4 linked regions of the Caenorhabditis elegans genome follow. The protein of the gene in region 1 purifies or fractionates together with the protein of each later gene. This does not show direct contact. Each region holds a gene or a part of one and is shown on either strand. Other genes may lie near its edges.

Region 1 (5,015 bases):
GAAGGAGACGTTATTCGAATCTGAAAATTAATTATTTTTATTTAAAAATCAATATATCTCCAATTAATCTCACTTTTTCAATACCCTCTTCATTATTGGTAACAGCTGATATGCGTAGAGAACATAGTCGACCGTTGAAAATGGAAAAATCACTCTCGTAGAGCACCCTCGAATCGATTAATGATGTCATTTATCCTGAAAAACGTTGATTTTTTTCAAAATGTGGCGAACTAAATAGAACCCAAAAAGAGAAATTCATTAAAAAAACACAATTCTTAAAAACTTTAGCTGGAATAAGAACAGAATGCCAAAGTGAAATCGATTAGAGTAAAGAGCGAACGGCCACTGAAAAAAGGGAAACAAGTGTATGTCACCGCGCTCCTTTGAGAAAGAAAACGGCGCTATGTTCAAAAAAGAACGCCAACGAAAGAATTCTGAAACGCTGGAAAATACTTGAATAGCTCTAAATATTTCATCACATGCAAGTAATATTTTGTATTTTAACAAATTCCCATCATCATCGGATATGAAAATTAATATTTAAAAAATTCATTCGAAAACTAAGGCATTTGTCCAACTATTAAAAAGGAAATCGAAGAAACAACAAAAAAATGGAACAGATTGATAATTGTACACGATTGTCCAGAAATCGTTCAGTTTCCTCTTCTACTTGGCATGTTCGGCGACTGGCCGTACCTCATTGCCTTTGGAGGGTTTGGTTTGAATTTCTTGGAAGTCGATTGGTTTTGAGTGGAGCTTTCGGTATCTTCCTGTGGATCTACGTCACTTAACGAACCAGCTACATCAAGAATACTCGAAACTCGGCCGTAGTGTCTCTCTGTGGCAATAGCTGGAGCGGCACCTGATGGATCTACGTCAGCGAACGAACCAGCTACATCGAGAATACTCGAAACTCGGCCGTAGTGTCTCTCCGCAGCAATAACTGAAGCTGCTCCTGCTGGTTGCTCCGTGACAACCGTTTGAGCTTCTTCAGACTGATGCTCCGTCACAATGATTGGAACGCTCTCCGATTGATGACCAGTAACATTAATTGGAGCTGCTTCTTCATGCTGCTCGGTGTCAATTGATAAGTCGGCAAGTCCCTCAACAGCAATTTCATTTTGAGCATCTTGAGCATCATTTTGAGCATCGTTCTCCTCAGCCCTTGCTACATCCAATATACTTGGTACACGACCGTAGATGGGACTTTCACGAACGTCTTCCTCCACTGTATCGTCAGTTGGCAGATCAGCGACGTCGAGAATACTCGACACTCGTCCATATTTTCTCTTCCGTGGTCTTTTATCCGGGATACTACCGTTCGCCAAATCTACCTGAGCCTCTTCCGAAACCGGATTTGCAACTGGGTCTGGTTTTTTCCTGTTAATAGAAGTATTTGAAACGCCATATCTTGCTGTTGAGCTCTCCTGCTTCTCAGATGTAGTATTATCTAGATCCGCAGCTTCCTCAGGTATTGCAGACTTTGATTCATTTCTCTTCTCGGGAGAGGTGATAATAGCATCAGAGTCAATTTGAAGAGAATTCTGAGCATCAGAGTCAATTTGAAGAGAATTCTGAGCATCATCATCATTTTGTTCTTCTGGCTGTTCATCGACTTCAACTGGAGGTACAAGCCGACGAGCACTTCTCTGTAAATTATTGAACTTAACATTTTTATTATAACAATAAAAATAATTACCCTTTTTGGGTTCACTATTGGTTCTTCTTCTTTCTGTTCGCATCGTTCATTGTTCTTCGTGGTGCGTTTACTGGAACGTCTCATCTGAGCTTTTGGCGCTTTTTGAGGTTGCTCTTTCACCGGGGACTCCACGGGAGAAGCCGGTTCCGTTGGAGTTATCGGGACAGCGGGAGCTCTCGTTGAACGTTTCTTTGCAGCTTTCACTATTGGAGAACGTTCCCTTTCAACAACCATTGGAACTTCATCATTATCAGCAATCAATACATTATATTCGGACTGCAGAACCATCATTTCACTGGCCATACTTGGATTACAACGAATTGATTCGTTTGCCACATCTTCGTCCATACGTACTTCTTGACGACCTATAAACATTAGAAAATTAATTTTTTTTCTCGACAAAACGCACCTGGTGAAAAATAGATTTCGTCAAGTTCAGGATTCTCAGCACAATTCATTGTGTTATCTCGAACAACTTCGATCGGTGTGATCGTTGAGTTGAGCAAATCATCTTCAAAATGAGAAACTTCCACTGGTGGACGAATGGCTGAAGGCTGTTCAACCATGAATTTCGAGGCATATGCGAATTGAAATCTGAATCAATTTAATTAAGAATTTGATGATTGAAATGACGAACAAACCCATTGCCGTGAGGAAAACTAACAGCACCAAGATTGATCTGCTCAGGATTCACAAAATCGTCGACTTGTTGAAATCCGGGAACGAATTCCGGTTCTAAAACAATAATTTATTTATGATTTAAATTAAATATTTTTAACCTTACCTCCTCTGTATGCTACTTTCATCGATGGAATGAGGCCTCTTGGTAGCGGACGGAGCAGGCTTAGAACATTTCTAAGCTCGCTGAACATCTTGCAAAACTGTTGAGCAGTATCATCCATGTTTAAATAATTCACCACAAATTTAGATTTACGCCTGGAAAAGAGTCAGTGAAATTTATATTTAGATAAATGATCTAACCCTCCGTATCCGATTTCGGCACTTGCAGATGTGGTTGAGTCATAGACAAAGGTCCAGACAAACGTTTCCACGGGATTCGTGTTTAGTGACTCTTCAACGACAATAGCGAGTTTCTGCAAACAATGAATTTTTACCACTTACGAGAGTAAAACTGTACCTGAAGGAGTTTCTGACGGATCGCGTCATGAGACGCCAAAAGCTTCGAAGACACACTCCGTCCTTCTGGAATGTCTTGTCGCAAAGTATATCCGCTGACATCTCCTATAAAATAATTCATGCTTAATTGCAAGTCAGATAGATAAAACCTCACCATAAACTTGAAAATCCTGGAAGTATTCCGCAGGAATAACTTTCCGTTCACGGAGAATTGTTGAGTTTGCAAGATAAACGCAGTTGGCCATCACTTCAAGAGAGCTTTTCGAATTTTCATCACCATTTTTCAATGTTTGCTCGTTGAATATAGCCTGAAAATTTTCGTTTTCTCGACAAAAAAAACTCTGTCAAATCTACTCACCCTGTCATCACTCGTCAGAGAGCCAGGGACAACAGAAGAGTCGAAGCTTTCGTCCATTTTGACACTTAAAATATTTTAAAACATTTTTTTTAATTAAAAACTAATTGAAAATGAGAAAAAACTGAAAAATAAATGAATAATTTGACATAAAATAACTAATTTCAACCGAAGTTTACCGTAACTCAGGTCAACATGTTGTGTTCTCGTGTCGAGACCCATGGAAGAAATGTCATGCACCTTTAAGTTTTTTCTTTTATATTTCAATTTTTTTCCGTTCATTTTCTACTTAAAATGCACTTTCAAGAGAATTTCTCATATTTTGAAGTTTTAAAATTGTAGTTTATTAAAATCTGAGCATATCTCTATGTATTTTGAGTCTAGAAACCGCTTTGAAATGTGCAAAGAACAGATGAAAGCACTTAAAATTTAAATAAACGTTTTTTACTTATTCATTTATTGTGTTTTTAAGCTTCTATATTTAATAATGAGACATTAATTTCAGATGAAACCGACGACGAGAAGCGCATCAAAAAGAGCAAATGCGGAATCTTCGGGAGTGAACCAGCCCGAGAAGAAATCACGAATTCCTGAAACAGAAATTGTAGAGGATCCGTTGGAGATCGAAGTACCGCCCGCATCGGCAGATGGCACTGACAACAAGAGTTTTTCAGAAAATGAATACGACGATGATCACAGTAGCAGCAGCGACGAGGAGAGTGATGATGAATACGTTGTGGAGACTCACAAGAGTTCGATGGTGGATGCTGCAGAAAGTTCCGAAGGCGAGCGACCGGATGAACGCGTATGCTGCCTTTTAAAAAATTTTTATCGATTTAACTTCTTTAAGATTGTCCGAGAATTAGAGCAGAAAATTGCTCGTGGGTTGAAGAACGACAGGATTCTCAAAAAGAAAAAGAAAGCGTTAGATGGGGAAGTCTCAGACACTGAAGACGTGGTTTGTGAGTACGAACCACAAGCGATGCCGAAGCAACGAAGAAGGCGACTGTATAGAAGAAAAATGGTGGGATTTTAATGCTAGTTGTTGAAATTTAGAAATGATTTCTTGCAGACCAGACCTCAAGGAGTCCCTAAAAGACGTCGCATCAAGAGACCGGACCTGGAACTTGCAGATGATTACACCTGTGACACTTTTGCTGAGCAAGGATTGACTCTGAAGGTGTGTAAGAATTTATAATTTAAATATTTGCAATAATTTTTCAGTCTTTGACAAGTGACATCAAACAAGACGATCCTGAAGTCGATTGGAAAGCAATGAGAAGGATGGGTATCGGAATCAGATCAACAAAAAGAGACGAAATCAATTCCGATGAGGATGAAGCGGATATTATTTCGCATTCATTTTCTTTCTACCAAACAAGAAACTCTAAAGAGCAAGTGGCACAGGCCGTCGAACTAAATATGAACCCTTTTTCGGAGAAGATCGCGAGCTACAAGTAATTGTTAAGAGAAATATCATGAATAAATATTATGTTTTCAGTGCTCCAAAGTCCGTTCATGGATACAGTCGATCTTCAATTCAAAATCAACATTCAGGATTTATTGACAAGAACGACATCAAATATCCGGACGAATTATTATGGCAGGAACCATTTACGTGAGTATTTTAAAACCATATATATTGATTAAGAATATTTTTCAGCCATCTCGTCTTCTTCCAATCCACATTCAATGCTCACGAGTCTTCCATCAAGTTCCTGAATAATGTCGCAAATTCAAAAAAGCAGGAAAGAGACTCCAAACTGATGAAGGAAATTCGCGAAAGGATTAAGCAGAAATCGCTCGGACATGTAGATGTTCCAA
Region 2 (4,551 bases), on another chromosome or scaffold:
TTTTAGAATAAAATTTAATGTTTTCTTATGTTTTTTTCTCATCGAGATAAACAAAATTTGATGAAATATTGATTTTTTCGGATAATAGAAAAATCGAAAACTTCCTTCTTTAGGCAATTCAAAATTAATTCGGATTAGTTTTTGCAACAAAAAAAATCCCGTAAAAACCCATTTTTTCACTGTTAGAATTATTTTCGATAGTTTTAGAACGAAATTTTTTTTAGAAATTCTAAAAATATCAACGTACATGCATCCAATATCATCAAGATTTCTGAATAAATCCGCCATTAATCGAACTCTCAATTTTGGTTCAACTTTGTACGGAACAAGATATAATTGGAAATATCTTTCGATAATTGCTCTTGCATCGTGATAAGCTGGCAATCTTTGTGTCAATCTATAAACATTAAAAACTGCCGTTGAAATGAATCGAACTGATTCTTTTTCTGATTCAGTATATGATAATGTCGCTTCTTTTGAATCTTTTGGTGCACAACTTCCATCTTTTGAGAAAAATGGTTGAGGTGATGACGTCATCACATGATTATAAAGATCCATTAGACGTTTGATCGCTTGAATTCGGACTTTTGGCTGGAATTTTTAGGGTTTTCGCTTTTTTAATTAGATTTTTTAATATAAAAAACCTTTTTATCCTTCATCCGCTCGGCACAGGCCTTTAGCATTTTATCACTAATAACTTCTAATTTCGTTTTTGCCACTTCAGTAACTCCAGTTACAACATCTCGTCGAATATCGTCATTTAAATCAACGGAGAGACGTAGCAGGCTATCTGAAAATGGGGATTTTACTTTAGAAAAATTCAAAATTTTCTTGAATTTGGAAAATTTCACTAAAAAACATGAAAAAACATTTTTTAAAAAACCAACTTTCAAAACCGTGAAAATTCAATTTTAGCTTTTATCCAATATGAGAAAAAATAGTTTTTATTTCACGAAAACCTACTAATAATCTGTCCCCTGAGATGTGAATGATTCGAAATTAGAATATCTTTCGATTGTTGCACAAATTCGTGTCGAACACTATCATCTTGATCGATAGACCTGAAAAAAATCACAAAAAATTCGACAAAATAATTTAATTACAATTAAAAAACTAACGCATTCAAAAAAGCACTCCATGTTGGATCATTTGAATCCATTCCGAATTGACAATGTTTGTCACGTGTCAACATTCCAACGACTGTCACTGCTTCTTTTCGGTACTGCTCATTTTCTGACTGAAAAATGATTTGATGAGTACTCTACTAAGTTCCTTTTTTCAATTGTCCTACCTGAAGCCAAAATTTGAGTTCTTGAATAGCGCCAGACACCAAATCAAATGATACGTAGTGAAGATAACGGAGTACTTCAAAGAATTTACTTCGATTACTGGAACCAGTTAACTCGAATTCTTCTGGAAGTTTCCCTTCTTTTGCGGCTGCTGTCATTGTACTTCGAATGGAATTTGCTAAAGTGTCTGACTCATTATCACTGCAGGATCGGATGATATCTTCTGCCAGTGCACGTGCTTCTGCGAAATTGCTCTGAAATTGAAGTTTTTTGTTGGAAATATATTCTGAAAGGGTATTCTATAAGAGAATTTTTCATACTTTTCTCATAGTTTTGCATTAAAATTTTTTTTCCAAAAACTTTAAATAACGGTTTTTGAAAAATCATTCAATAATTGCAATAAATTCTAAATTCAGTTACAACCTTAAATTACGCCGTTATTTTCGTGTCGTAGTGATTAAAAGATGGTATTTTTTATGAAATTAATTGTACATTTCGCAAGTTTTTGTCGTTTATTCCTTCTGTTTTTGTTGATTCACGCACTTTTCGATCAGACGGAATCCATAATTTGAAAATTTTGAAAAAAATTTTCTTGTAGACATGAAAATATGCAAATCAACAAAATAAGCATTAGAATAAACGACAAAATACGCGGAATAGGGAAAAAAAATGATTTTTTAAAATTTTCGGCCGATTTCAAGGGACATATTCATAAATTTAAATATTCTGGGGCTATTTTTTGTTTTCAACGCTAATTCCCTATTTAATTCCACAAAACTTACTCTCTGTGGATTAATAATATGATAAAACAAAACATCAAGGCACTCGTTCTGAACAAAATCCAAATTAGTAATCACTGTCGTTGCAATTTGAATTAAAGATTTCCGAATTTTTTCGGCGGCATTCTCATCTTCTTCGTCATCATTCATTGAATCATCGTCATTTTCTTGAATTTTCAAAAGTCGCGCTTCTTTTTTCAGATTCTGATTCCATCCTTTTCCACACGGAATCGCCAGAATATCCTTGATCAACGCTCGGAACACCGGAGTTGCTTCTTTATCATCGTGATCCTTCATTTCGATGATTGGTGGAATGATTTTCTCCATTGTCTGAATATAAATAATTATTTTTTGGTGCTAGAATTTCTACAGCAAACCTCAACCAACGAGAAGTAATTTTTAAACTTCGGACTATCCTGAGTAACGTCTCCGAGTCCTCGCATGGTACGGAAAAGGTAGATATAAACCTCCTGAAACAGAAAATTTCATTAAAAATCAATAATTTACTTGAATTCTAACCTTTAAATCCATTACACTTGGCGTCGGTAGCTCTGGCTGGAAGATTCGCAGAATATTCGCGAGACAAAGTGAAAGAAGGATCCGAAAATCTGTATTTGAATTGTCAAGGAAGCATTCTTGTGATAAATGTTGGAAAAGCCTTGCGAATCGATTCGGAGACGATACTTCTTCGCTATTGTTTGTTTTGCAGTCATGGAGACAGTTAAATAGTTTCTGAAAATTATATATTTTTTTAAATAATGTTTAATCATTTCTTTTAACGTTCTTTTCATCAAAAAATAATTCATTTCTCATATTCAACTTCTTTAAAGGCATCAATTTAGATTCAAAATAAGTTGTTTTTTTGTTGAAATTTCTGAAACTCACTCGTAAGCGTTCAATTTGTTGTGTCACATTATTTGAGTTAAGAATTGGAAGACATCCTTGCGGGTAATCCACATCACCGCTCATTTTACTGAAATTGGAAGCAAAAATTCAATAAAAATTGTCGAAAAAATGGAGAAAATGGAGAAATAGAAAAGAAATTAAATTGAAAATAGTGTGAGATACTGTATTAAAGGAGCATGGGCAGTGGGAACAAACGGGTCTCGCCGAGATTTAAATGTTTCAAGCGCGCGCCAAAATTTGTTTCAAATGCTTTTTCACGCTTTCTCTCAATTTTGTATAATTATTTAAATGTTCCGCTTTTCTCAATTAAAATTGTCATGTTTTAAATTGTATATACATATTAAAATATGTAAAAAACTTTGCAATCATTGAAAATAATACAAATTCAATAAAACTTCACTTTCTGTTACAGAAAAATGTTTTTTAAATGAGCGATGCTGTAGTAAATATTATCTCTAATATATTCCTTTTCAATGGAATTCAAAATTATGTTGATTTTCTTCAGTTTTCTTTTCGAGAGACGCCGACGTTAATCGAAATCAATACGACACTCCGTTTCCCGCTAAACAAAGTGTATGACGTCACATCTGCATTACATTGCAGCGTTTTCTCGTGGTTTCCTCTATCGCTCACCATTTTATAGTTTTTCCCGTATTTTTCTATTGATTCGTTAATCGACCGCGTTGTTGTTCGTTTCTTCTTCCTTCCCTCTTCTCTTTGCGTTATTAAATTGCTTTATTTTTTGAAATTATTAACTGCATTGCTTATCAGTTTTGTTTCGAAAAGTTGTATCTTTTTTGTCGTTTAACAATTTCGAAATTACGCAGATTTAATTTTAAAATCACTAAAACAATGAATTTTCCAGGCTAACCACTACGTCTACACAATGAATCGACTGAAGTCCGATCAAAAAACAAAGGTTTGTAAACGGAAACAAGACGATGAAGTGGAGATGAGTGATATGGAAACTGATCACAAAAAGTGTAGAAAACAAGAAAACAGTAAATTTGTGCGTGTGAAAATTCCATTCGTCATCCATTCCCGTTTTTCTCTTTTTCAGCATTTATCTCGAGCAAGTTCGAGTTCTCTAGCTCAAAGCACTGTTCTTTCTGACATTTTTCCCAAGAACTACGATAATATCGTGAGTTGTAGCGGGAATTTCGAAAAAAAAACTAATTTTGCCACATCTTGCTGCTTCGTTTGTTATTTCTTGACTAGACAAATTCTAGCTCATCTAGAAAGCTGACTTTTCTCAAAATCGTTGCGAGACCCAAAGCAGAAAAATGTATCTTTTTTAAATCTACGTGGAAACGCGCTCCAATATTAAATTTCGAGGTTTTCCCGCCAAATACCTAACGAGACCCAACTTTGGCGAGCAGAGCGTTTTGCCCGCGATTTTCCTGCGTCTCTTCAAACAATCTAATCACTGCTGCTGGTTTATGAAATATCAATTTTCCTCATTTTTTAAAGCTGAGCAATGTTTTCGCTCAATCCTAAAATTTTTAGTAGTTCTAATTGTGATCAACGGTTTCCCATTTCCGATCGAAGTCACTTTTTAAATTCTCACTTTTATTGAT
Region 3 (7,631 bases), on another chromosome or scaffold:
TCTGGATCTCTAACCAAGCTTGAATTGGACCTGAAAATTGGCGCTTTTTATTGAAAAACTTATTAAAATAAATGCTTAAAATCTCACCCAGGCACACTTCTTTGAGTTTCATCCATTTGTGAGTCGAATTAGTTGTAAAATCTAGAAAATCAGAGAAAGAAAACCGAGAAATGAATTAAAAATCGGAAGGATTTTTTGAATGACCCCGCTTCGCGTTAGAGCGCGCTTGCAACATTCACTTAAAGGCACACATAAGTCGGACGGTGCAGACGGCTGACGTTTTTTGAACAAAATAAGATTTTACCCAGAGAAAAAAAAACAGGGAATAAGAATGATACACGATGGAAATTGAACATGAGAGTCAGGAAAAGAAAAAGGGGAAAACAGTTTAAAATGGACAGTTTACAATTTTACAAGTGGGAGAAATACTTTTGATTCTATTTAAATGCAGCTAAACTATTAAAAAAGAAAAAACAATTGTACAGTTAAAAATCCGCCATTGCCAGCTCGTCGATATCTTCAATGTCATCCGTTGATAGCAGCAAATCGATATTTCCATAAGGATCACGTTGAATGGCCTTGATCTCACGTTCTTTGAGGAGCTCTGAAACACCAAAAATATTGAAAATGACGTAATAAACTATTTAATCTACCAAGAACTGTATAAAATGTGCGAGCGGCTTCTCGTCGAGATGTCGCAGCCAGTGGGATAATCGAATCCAGAGTGACCTCGTAGGGGCATTCACTATTCAGCTTGCTGAAAATAACTGCGTGAATAAATAATACTGTCAGCTGCACGCCCTGCTCAAGTGTTCATAATTATTAGAGTGCGCTCGCGCGGCACCTCACGAACTCCAGAATTCGCGGGATTTCGTTTCGCGGCGGGGACAGTAGTTTTTGGCTATTTTTGGCTTCTACGGAAATTATTTTTAATTTTTAATTTATAATATTGTTGAGAAGCACCAGCCGAATTGAAAATGAATTGAAAATTATGAAAATTGACCGAAAACTGAAGGAGTCACCACGGCTTTCTTTAAAATGTATCAGTACCGTTAGTTTTTCGATTTCAGAGTCGTAAAATATGTCATTTTGTAGAGAAAAGTCTGTTCCACAAAAATCCATGTTTGAAATTTTAATTGTTTGATTTCTAATATGAAAATATTCAAAAAATCAACAATTTTACGTTAAAATCTAATTTTTTCAATTTTTAATAAGAACAATTTTAAAATTTCAAACATGGATTTTTGTGAAACAAACTTTTCTCTACAAAATGACATATTTTACGACTCTGAAATCGAAAAACTGACGGTACTGATACATTTTATTAAGAAAGTCGTGGTGATTTCACCCCTATCTACTTGTTGTCTGTGGCGTCCCGTCTAAATGTTTTCTACATGTTAACTTGTCGTTGTGGAACCGAATAGCAAAACGTTTCCCTAAACTGTTAACTCCAAATGCATTTGCGTCGCGCCTAGGCTCTATCCCATTTGACACCCTCTTCCCCCCAACTTGACCTCCCGGGCTATAGCTGGTCCAATTGGTCATTTTATTTATCTGTCCACACATCTTTTTTATTTTACTTTTTTTCTTTGTCTTCCGGTGTAGCTATTTCTTGTGGCAAATAAACAATTATTATTATTATTCTTGTGTAAAACTTTCACTATGTGATCAAATTTCATAATTTTACACATTTTCAATTCGGATGGTGCTTCTCAACAATATTATCAATTAAAAAATTAAAAATAATTTCCATAGAAGCCAAAAATAGCCAAAAACTGCTGTCCCCGCAGCGAAACGAAATCCCGCGAATTCTGGAGTTCGTGAGGTGCCGCGCGAGCGCGCTCTAATAATTATGAACACTCCAGGAGGCCGTGCAACTGGAGTATTCAGCTCACTGAATAATATTCGCACGGATGGTGAGCGCATCCGCAATGTTTTCAGATATCGGATTTGACCACGTCGGTTTGGAATTCCAGTTTTCTTCCAATAGCGCCGGCTCATCCATCCTGAAACATAAAATTTATCATCAAATTCTCGAAAAACGAAGCTAAAACCTTGGAGAAATCGGATTCACATTCATCGGCTCAAATTGTTCCAATCGTGGAACCTCGAGCTCTTCTCGAAACTCTATTTCTTCCGGTCGATGCGCTGGAGTCATGCTGAAAATTGAAAATTACTCAAATGCTCAAAGCTTGAAGCCTGGTGATTATTTTAAAGGTGGTGTAGTCGATTGTTTTTTTATTGCTTAATAAAAGACTCAAAATTGTCTGAAAACGCCGAATTTCGTAATGAAACTTCTCCAAAAAAAAATAATGGCGGCTCAAAAACTGGCCTAAAATTAGTTAAAATTTGAAATTTGACTTGTCAGCGGCTGGAGACTTTTTTTTTTTGAAATCACCGTCAAATTTTGGGTATCCAATGCAATTATCTTGCTTTTTCAACTCGATTTATGTAGGTATTTTAAAGTCGATGGACGGCGAGATTTGGTTTAAAAAATTCAAAAATCTCACCGTCCATCGACTTTAAAATCCCTTATTCAAGTTGAAAAAGCAAGATAATTGACCTGTACACTCAAAATTTGACGGTGATTTCAAAAAAAAATTGTCTCCAGCTGCTGACAAGTCAAATTTAAAATTTTAACTAATTTTAGGCCATTTTTAGAGTCGTCTTAACTTTTTTTTTTTTGAGAAGTTTCATTATGAAATTCGGTGTGTTCAGAAAATTTTGAGTCTAATATAGCAATAAAAAATTCGACTGCAACACATTTAAATGCGTACATAGGACTTTTTTCCTTCAGTGGAGTCGCCATGAACTTCATCTGTGACAAGTCGATGGTCTCCAAGAGCTCGCGTTCGGCTTCACGTCGATTTCTCCTCTCCGCTTCCTCATCCTCATCTTCAGTATCAGATACATCGTGGCGCCCAATTGTGGAATCAAATTTCCTCGTTTTCACTTTGAACAGATCCCACATGTCTGTATTGCATCCTTTTCGAAGGTAGTACGGGATCGGGTTCAACAGATCTTTTAAATTCATCACTTTGCTTGTCTTCCGACATAGAGGCTCCACGTCTTTGAAGTGAAGACTGGAATAATCTTCCATCAAGTGATGCATGTCTCTCTGGTAAAAAAAAAGGCGTGGAATAATATTGATTTCACATCTTGATCGCCTACTAATGGAATTTTATAATTGATCCCTTCCTCTGCTCCCTCGTTCTCAGCCATTTGGTTTTTTGTAGCACTATGAGGAGCTTTAGGTATTGTTCTTGGAATCAAAACTTCGTCATCTAATTCCAAGATTTCCGAGGCGATACGTGGAACATTCATCTGTTGTGGCGTAAGAAACTCGGTGTTCTGAAAACGAAAAAATTCGAAAAAAAGTTGAAATTCCAGCCGTTGTGAAACGAAAAAATTGGCAAAAATGGAGATTTTAGCTAAAATTTGGTATGTTTTCCGAAATTTTAACACTTTTTTTGTATATTTTGGTTAAGAAATACCGTTTTTTAGGTCATTTTGGGTGTAAAAAATTCAAAATAACATCAAATTCGGAAAAACCACCAAAACAAAAAAAAATGTTAAAAATTAAAAAAAATCCGAATTATTCTGGATTTTTTAAAAAAATTTTTCTTTTAAAGGTGGACTTCATTCAGTGGGGAAATTGCTTTAAAACATGCTTATCGGGTCACAATGACCAAATATCATGATTTAAAAATTCAAAAAAATTTTCTAAATTTTATATGATTTTTTGAAAATTGAAAAAAAAATCTCAGTTTTCCCCTAATTCCTATTTGATTTACCGCCAATTGAATTCGTTCGATAGAGCGTGCTTGCATCATTTTAAATAATTAATTTTATTTATTCTTATTATTTTACTGATTTTTTTTCATTTTTTGTGTCTTTTTATCGGAAAATGAAAGAAATAAACAAAACAAATGCAAAATGTCTATTAAAAATTAACTGAAAATTCGTAAAACAGTGATATTTTGAGTATTTTAACAGTTTTACGCATTTTCAGTTAATTTTTACAGATCATTTTTCATTTGTCTTGTTTATTCCTTTCATTTTCCGATAAAAAGACGCAAAAAACGAAGAAAATCAGTGAAATAATAAGAATAAATAAAATTAATTAATTAAAATGATGCAAGCGCGCTCCATCGAACGAATTCAATTGGCGGTAATTCAAATAGGAATTAGGTGAAAACTGAGATTTTTTCAATTTTCAAAAAATCATATAAAATTTATAATTTTTTTTGAATTTTTTATCATGATATTCGGTCCTTGTGACCCCATAGGCATCTTTTAAAGCAATTCCCCCTAGACATACGATTCCAGAATTCCTCGCTTCCTCCATTTCTTCGTCCATACTCCTTCTCCGCTCAGTTTCGTCTAGCGCGATGGGAAGATGGGCGAATCGAAGAACGTCCTTCAGGTGCGTGGCTGGTTGAAATACTTCTTCCTCTTGTGGTATGGATTTGGTAGGTGTCATGAGCTGGCTTCGGATAAAATCATCAGATGGACGTTGAAAATCAGTCTCCATATTCAGATTCAGATTGTGGACATTTTGACGGGCATCGTTGAAGGAATATCGATCGATAAATGTTCTGAAACACACATCATTATTATATTCATTGCAACTTTTTCCTCACGAGGACGAGGAAAAGTGGTTTCTAGGCCATGGCCGAGGAGCCGACAAGTTTCAGCGGCCATTTATCTTGATGGATTACGGGAATACAAAACCTAAACTTTTTCTGAAACATGATACATATGCTGCTTAGATGCTGAAACTACCTGATTTTCATAACGAAACCGCTGAAAAAGGTTTGAGGTTTTCAAAATTCAACATTTTGTGCCAAAATCTCGACTTTTTTACCAAAAAAGTTGAATTTTGAAAATCTCAAAACTTTTTCAGCGACCTCGTTATGAAAATCAGGTAGTTTCAGCATCTAAGCAGCATATGTATCATGTTTCAAAAAAAAGTTTAGGTTTTGTATTCCCGTAATCCATTATATTGCATTGCCCACTGAATACATTTTTTTACTTGGAAATTGTTTTAGCATCTGCAAAAAGTATTTATTTATCAGTTTCATTAAGAAAAAACGAGAGAAAACAAGCGGAAAACAAAGCAAGATAAATGGCCGCTGAAACTTGTCGGCCCCTCGGCCATGGCCTAGAAACCACATTTCCTCGTCCCTCGTGAGGAAAAAGTTGCAGTGATATTGCGAACATTATAAGGCGAGAATGCTAACTTACAAATCAATCGCCGTGTTCCGATTCTCTGATTCCAACATTCCGTACATCATTTCAAGTTGTTCCATCGTTGGTGCAGCCAAGTCGTCTTCCACGTTAATTTGGTCGTTCTTGTGAACACTGAGAACATCTGGCATTGTAATGTTTTGCCGTAGAGCCACACTCTGTAATAGATTTTTGTTTTAATTCCGATATTCTTGAAGCATTTAGGCTTACAATCGGCGTAGGAGCGAGAGGAAATTCCTCAGCCTGCCTTCTCTTCTTCTTTGGTGTTTTATTAGAGTTGTCTCCTTCCATCTGTTCGCGAGTTTTTCGTTTCCTCTCTTCTTCTTGCGCCATGTACGACGTGAATGCGACGATGTCTCGAGCACGAATTGCATCATCTGTAATATTTTTTTAAAATATTTTTTCTAGAAAGTGATACTTTAAACACTTACGAAGAAGTCGGGCAACTTGTGTACTGAGAACAATGGTGTTTCCGTACACCAAATTACACGCAACAGAGAGAGATCTTCGGTTTTTCTTCTCATTTCTGAGAATCCAGTGAATGAGCTTGCTTGCTTGAAGAACATCGTGTCTGAGGCACTCACGACGATTTGATTGCAATCCGAGTTTTTTGTGGGATCCAAAAACTATTCCTCTGCAAAAAAAACTGTATTAATCTGGCATAAAATATATTTCTTACAATAGGAACTTCACAGTCGCTTCCTCCGACGCTTTTAGCGGCACATCAATGCTTATGACCATGGTGATTGATTTTCTGCAATTTTTAATTGAAAATACGTTCGAAAGAAACGAAAAAAAGGGATAAAAAAGGATATAAAAGTCCCAAAAAAATAATAATAAATCTGAAAATTCTGGCTCGATCACTGCGAGACCATTGCCTACCGTACCATTTCTTTAAAGGCGCACAAATCAAAACAAGCTCTTTCGTGGCAAGACCCATGTGTGCCGCGTAGCTTCGAACCGCGAAATTTCATTTTTTTTCATTTTCAAATCTTTTCTCGCATATTTTACAGTTTTTACAGTTAAAATTACGTGCGAAATGCCTACGAGCGCTGATGACAGCCTCCCTCTGGAAGATTCCGAAGAATGCGATGCCTACATCGCCAAATTTTTACGGCCCCGAAGTGAGTTTTGTGTTGTTTGGCCTAAAATTTCCAATTAAACATTTTTTCAGCACACTTGTTCAGTACGGTCAAGCAGGAGAAACAGCGACGCGAGTCCCATGACAACAAGTACGAAACGGCGGTGCGTAGTAAAGCCATCATGCCGTCACAAGCTTCAAAAGTTTACAGAAAGGAGATGTTTTACTCCACTTCTAGTAAGCTAGCTGATAAAATAAATACTGACTCTAAAATCTACATTTCAGAGTGTGATTCGCGATTCATCAACAATTTGCACACGTTCAACACTTTCGACGGAGGCAGTGGTTATAGCGAAGCCTCGCCGCACTATGCGATGGATTTTGTTGTTCGTTTTCGAAAATTTTAGGCGATAAAATTGTTTAATGATAATATTTTTTTATTTTCAGAAAAACAAAGGATTCGCTGATGACGAAATGGCCGGGCATTTGAAGAGTCTTGAGGTTTCAAGGAAAATGACTGAAAACGTCAAATGGCTCAATGATAATCGCAACGACTTGAAGACCGCACTCAGAAGGTCGAATTCGTGTCCAGAATTCCCCATCGACAGGGATCGCGAGAAAATTACGACATTACGAAGGAATGAAAAGAGAAATGAGGTTTTTTTTTTGGAAAATTAAATATAATTCGATTTCCAGAACGCCAAAATTTCGAATTTCGACGCCTCATTTGTTCCGGAGCTCTGCTGCTCAGATGACTATCCTTCGATTCTCTGTTCAATTGCGACTGCATTCAAAACCGTTGTCTCACGTGTCAACGCCCAATCAATCGGAAGCGGCGAGCTGAAAATCGCAAAAGTTCTGTGCTCTACTGAAGATCTGTTCGCATATGTGATCCCTAAACGATTCAATACCCGCGATGCTTTGTTTGCCTTTTCGAATCAATTCAGAGCGTGGCTCGAATACAAGCCTAATGTCCAGCTTTACACTCACTATCGCTTCATAAACGTGATACTGTATCTCGAAGAGTTTAAGCACGAGAGAACGGAATTCCGAAGGGCACGCCATGTCTGCAATCTGAAAAGCCGCAGAAATCATGGATTATTTCTGGAGTTGGATACGGGAATGCTACGTGTGGTGGAAATTACGCCGGAAAAAGTCAGATTTTTAGCGAATTCCTGGGCTCATAATCCGTCAGCGATTGTCGAGGTTCGATTCGACGGGGTGAAGGTGAAAATTTAGATTTTTTTTTTTCGAGACAGATATTTTAAAGGTGGAGTAGCGCCAGTGGGGAAATTGCTTT
Region 4 (3,431 bases), on another chromosome or scaffold:
TTTAAAACTAAAATCCCAAAATTTCCCGCGCAAAATGAAATAAAGTACTGTAGAATTTTAAGGCGCATTTCGACGTTAAGCCTATAGGTCTCGCCACGATTGATAAATTTTGGCACAGAATACGAAAAATTCTTGTTTTAAGCGTATTTGAGCGCTATTTTTTTGTTAAATCAAAGAACAAAATTAAATATAATAATAGAATATTTTCAACTGCAACGCGGATTCATGACCCGAATCAGTGGCGCGGGCATCTACAAACTTCAAGAACTCAGTTCCACGACTTATGGTTACGATCTCGGGTTGACTGCAGAATTAGCAGAAGCTAGTAGTTATGATTATGAGCTCATGAAGCATGTCCGGTTCCTGGTGCTTATTGCAGAAAATTTTTAGATTTAAATGCCAAAAGATATTCGGAGCGGGACTCAGCAAAAGAATACGAATCCTTCATACAATTAGATCGGCCAATTGATGGAAACTATGGAATACATTCAAGTATCCTGAAACTGGGACGTGGGAAAAATTCTAACAACACCAGTCAATTTATTTACGAATGACTGTAATTTTAAAAAGAAAACCAAGGATACAAAATGGAGCAAAAAGGAAAATAAAACTCTAGACAATAAAACATTGTACATGATGATATAGAACATGCCATGTTACAGGATAAAGCTGTAAACTAATGAACACAACGAGAAAAATTATTTACGGGAGCGAGAGTATGGAGAAGATCTGGTTTTGCTGTCATCGGCTCCTCTGCGAGTAGTTGGTCTCATCTTGATAGGCGACATTTGTGTTTTCTCGAGAGAATCCTACAAATTGAAACTGTTTGTTAATGTGTACAACACTATTTAATCTAACGGTTATATTATCAACCGGAGACGTCACGTTTCCTCCTTGATCGTTGGCAGATTCAGTAGTATCCTGACTAAGACCTGGGTCGGTGTCCTCCGAATTGAACGATTTATACAGCACATTCACTGGATTGAATGCATACATATCGGAAACTTTGTCCAGATGTCCCTTGAGAGTCAACTCTGCTGCGTATGAATCGGACATCGACTTGCTCCAGCATTGCATGTGTGCAGCGTGGTGTCCCGGGCGTAAGTGACCAATGGTGACCGATTGGATACCATCAGGAAGTGTGTAAAAAGTGGAAGAATCGTCGAAGCCATCGATGCGGAAATTGGATGGAGCATCGTTTGTGTACTTCAATCGAAAATTAGCCGTGAATTCTGCTGGCAACGGTTCGAGAACTTTCGTGCAGAGGAACTGAACACTGCGAACAATCGTCACCATTTGATCCCGTACACTTTCGGCACCCTCATATCGAAGTTGAGCAAGCTCCGCGAAGTGAGGATCTTCCTGGTCATTGTTGTCAGTGCTCAGACGAGCAACCACGCCGCCATTCTCAAAATAAATGAACTTCATAGAGAACACTTCGATGGCTTCAACATCTCCGTCATGCTCGGTCACCACGAGGGAGATTTCTTTCAGAAACCCATCCTTTGTGGCATCCCCGGCGGCTCGAAGTAGTTGAGCGATTTGGTGAGCCCGTAGGTTTTTGAAGCTCAGCGTCATGCAACTCAGATTTTCTGGAAAAAAACATTTACAATACAATGTGATAAGAAAAACAATTACCAGTGATGTAATTCTTCGAGAAATATTCTTTTTCGAGAATGTTACGTTGCCTGAGAACAGCCGAAAACACGACGTAGATTGCCCTGATCATAAAATTGGACGATCGATCCGGGTCGCTGACAATGCTTGGGAAAAGTTTGGACCATGTCTAAAATTAAAAAAATTAAAATAAGCATAAAACCATGAAACAAACTTTATCATCAATGGCATCCTTCGATTTGTTGAGCGACTCGTTGTAGTTATTTTCCAAAGGCGCCATCTGCAAAAAACAATTTGAAGACATTTTTAGGGCAAAGTTTAATTTTTGAATTCAAAAAAAAGAATGCAGATGATGCGTAATTAAAGGTACATCGGATTGGTGCAACCCATTGGTCTCACCACGCAATTACAAAAGCTGAAAATTATTCAAATAATTTTTGACTAAATGCAGCTTTTCTTTTCATTTTAAAGTAAATTTTTTATTCATTTCAAAACTGGCAATAAGTTTATTTGCTAGAAGTAGTTTTAGAAAGTAATATGTTTTAAAAATACGCAAATGCAAGTGAAATTCGCGAACCCGTGGTGATACCTAAATTTAGTTTACTGACTGCGCCTTTGATTACTGTAGCCTGTTTGCTTGGTTTCGAAACGTTTTGAATTCTCATTTTTTGTGCGAATTCACCTAATTTTTCTCCTATTAAGCTCAAAAAACGTTTTCCATTGTTTTCAGATGCCAAACTATCGAGGACGTCATCAAACGAGACAGAATTGGAGTTCTAAGCCAAGAGAAGAGCACTCCCCGAGGTATTTGAAATTAACAAAATGCCATTTTTTCGAGTACTTTCCTTTCAGCAAAGGCACATACACGGACAAAATCCGGAGCGTTCCAGTCAGTGAGGTCGTCAGGCAACAAACGTATGAAACTAATTTTTGAATGCTCCTAATTGATTCATTCTTCAGGGTGAACGACTGGGTGACTACAGGTGCTTATTCGCTTGGATCGCCAGACTCGTGGCCATCTTATCCGGACGAAATCATAGTGAGTGTCACAGTACAACGAAAAGATCTCATTTTTCTTGTTTTAGCTGATGAACGAGTCCCGAAATGCTCAGACATCCCGCAATTCGCGTCGGTCGGCTACTCCCGGTCCAGTGAGTTTATTTTCTTCATATTTTCGTTACGAGACTGATCTTGGTTTCAGAGATTGCCACAAGATAGAAGGACAAGAACTACAGCACCCACCGTTGCGCCGATTCCGTTCCAGAGGGCACAGCCTCGAATAGAAGTGGAGAGGCAAAGAATCAACGAGCCTGTCGCACAGGACCTGATTATCGATAATGAGGTACCAGAAAAGTTTCATCGATTATTAGTTGTAATGTATTTTTGTAGAACGGTACCAACAACTCCAACGATTCGAGTATCTGTGGCATTATGGAGGAATTCGAGGAGCTCGTATATCCACAGTGAGTATCTAAATCAATGAATTAACTCTGAAATCTCTTTTTCCAGATGGGTTTACTATCTGTACCCATTGATTCCCACCGCGCCCAACTGCAACAACGAGAAGTCGTACAAAGAAGGTTCCAATTGGTACATCTCTCCATGAATGATCTCCCTCTTCAGCTTCTCTCAATCTGTCATATTTCTTATGCCTGCGTGGCTCCTCATTCTTTCTCATATTGTCAGTCCCATCATACCCGTAATCAAACCCCCCCTCATTCAATTTTCTCTGTACCGGTTAAGAAGTTCTAACATTGTATTTTCCATGATTCTATATCAGGAGCTGTTTTCCCATTATTAATCCATAATATGAT

The links.
Region 2: the proteins of htp-3 (region 1) and evl-14 purify together in Caenorhabditis elegans (affinity purification with mass spectrometry, with the first as the bait; one study listed by BioGRID). This does not show direct contact.
Region 3: the proteins of htp-3 (region 1) and coh-4 purify together in Caenorhabditis elegans (affinity purification with mass spectrometry, with the first as the bait; one study listed by BioGRID). This does not show direct contact.
Region 4: the proteins of htp-3 (region 1) and htp-2 purify together in Caenorhabditis elegans (affinity purification with western blotting; 2 studies listed by BioGRID, with this or other methods). This does not show direct contact.

The regions. Positions count from the first base shown.
Region 1 is NC_003279.8:4,825,315-4,830,329, reverse strand, and holds htp-3 (HORMA domain-containing protein), read right to left. Parts: upstream 3,259-5,015; 5' UTR 3,252-3,258; coding exon 3,195-3,251; intron 3,145-3,194; coding exon 2,991-3,144; intron 2,942-2,990; coding exon 2,838-2,941; intron 2,794-2,837; coding exon 2,681-2,793; intron 2,636-2,680; coding exon 2,484-2,635; intron 2,435-2,483; coding exon 2,341-2,434; intron 2,294-2,340; coding exon 2,109-2,293; intron 2,065-2,108; coding exon 1,700-2,064; intron 1,650-1,699; coding exon 654-1,649; 3' UTR 534-653; downstream 1-533. Other genes in the region: F57C9.4 (C2H2-type domain-containing protein), read right to left, coding at 1-20, 74-190; tofu-4 (Twenty One u-rna (21U-RNA) biogenesis Fouled Up), read left to right, coding at 3,697-3,996, 4,042-4,215, 4,264-4,371, 4,416-4,648, 4,693-4,809, 4,855-5,015.
Region 2 is NC_003281.10:4,310,088-4,314,638, forward strand, and holds the start of evl-14 (Cnd1 domain-containing protein), read right to left. Parts: upstream 3,042-4,551; 5' UTR 3,038-3,041; coding exon 2,954-3,037; intron 2,801-2,953; coding exon 2,588-2,800; intron 2,539-2,587; coding exon 2,446-2,538; intron 2,399-2,445; coding exon 2,072-2,398; intron 1,544-2,071; coding exon 1,292-1,543; intron 1,238-1,291; coding exon 1,119-1,237; intron 1,062-1,118; coding exon 964-1,061; intron 791-963; coding exon 645-790; intron 592-644; coding exon 248-591; intron 1-247. Other genes in the region: dcn-1 (Defective in cullin neddylation protein 1), read left to right, coding at 3,861-3,893.
Region 3 is NC_003283.11:4,169,635-4,177,265, forward strand, and holds coh-4 (Rad21/Rec8-like protein C-terminal eukaryotic domain-containing protein), read right to left. Parts: upstream 6,007-7,631; 5' UTR 5,992-6,006; coding exon 5,930-5,991; intron 5,885-5,929; coding exon 5,682-5,884; intron 5,628-5,681; coding exon 5,461-5,627; intron 5,409-5,460; coding exon 5,248-5,408; intron 4,599-5,247; coding exon 4,322-4,598; intron 3,352-4,321; coding exon 3,172-3,351; intron 3,119-3,171; coding exon 2,778-3,118; intron 2,160-2,777; coding exon 2,055-2,159; intron 2,007-2,054; coding exon 1,896-2,006; intron 758-1,895; coding exon 654-757; intron 605-653; coding exon 486-604; 3' UTR 278-485; downstream 1-277. Other genes in the region: Y45G5AM.7 (Cilia- and flagella-associated protein 157), read right to left, coding at 1-30, 88-116; Protein pid-5, read left to right, coding at 6,290-6,374, 6,425-6,568, 6,617-6,717, 6,779-6,988, 7,028-7,558.
Region 4 is NC_003282.8:6,417,995-6,421,425, reverse strand, and holds htp-2 (HORMA domain-containing protein), read right to left. Parts: upstream 1,905-3,431; 5' UTR 1,898-1,904; coding exon 1,832-1,897; intron 1,787-1,831; coding exon 1,639-1,786; intron 1,593-1,638; coding exon 859-1,592; intron 810-858; coding exon 699-809; 3' UTR 528-698; downstream 1-527. Other genes in the region: Y73B6BL.23 (uncharacterized protein), read left to right, coding at 2,348-2,421, 2,470-2,532, 2,578-2,656, 2,703-2,768, 2,819-2,959, 3,007-3,080, 3,127-3,223.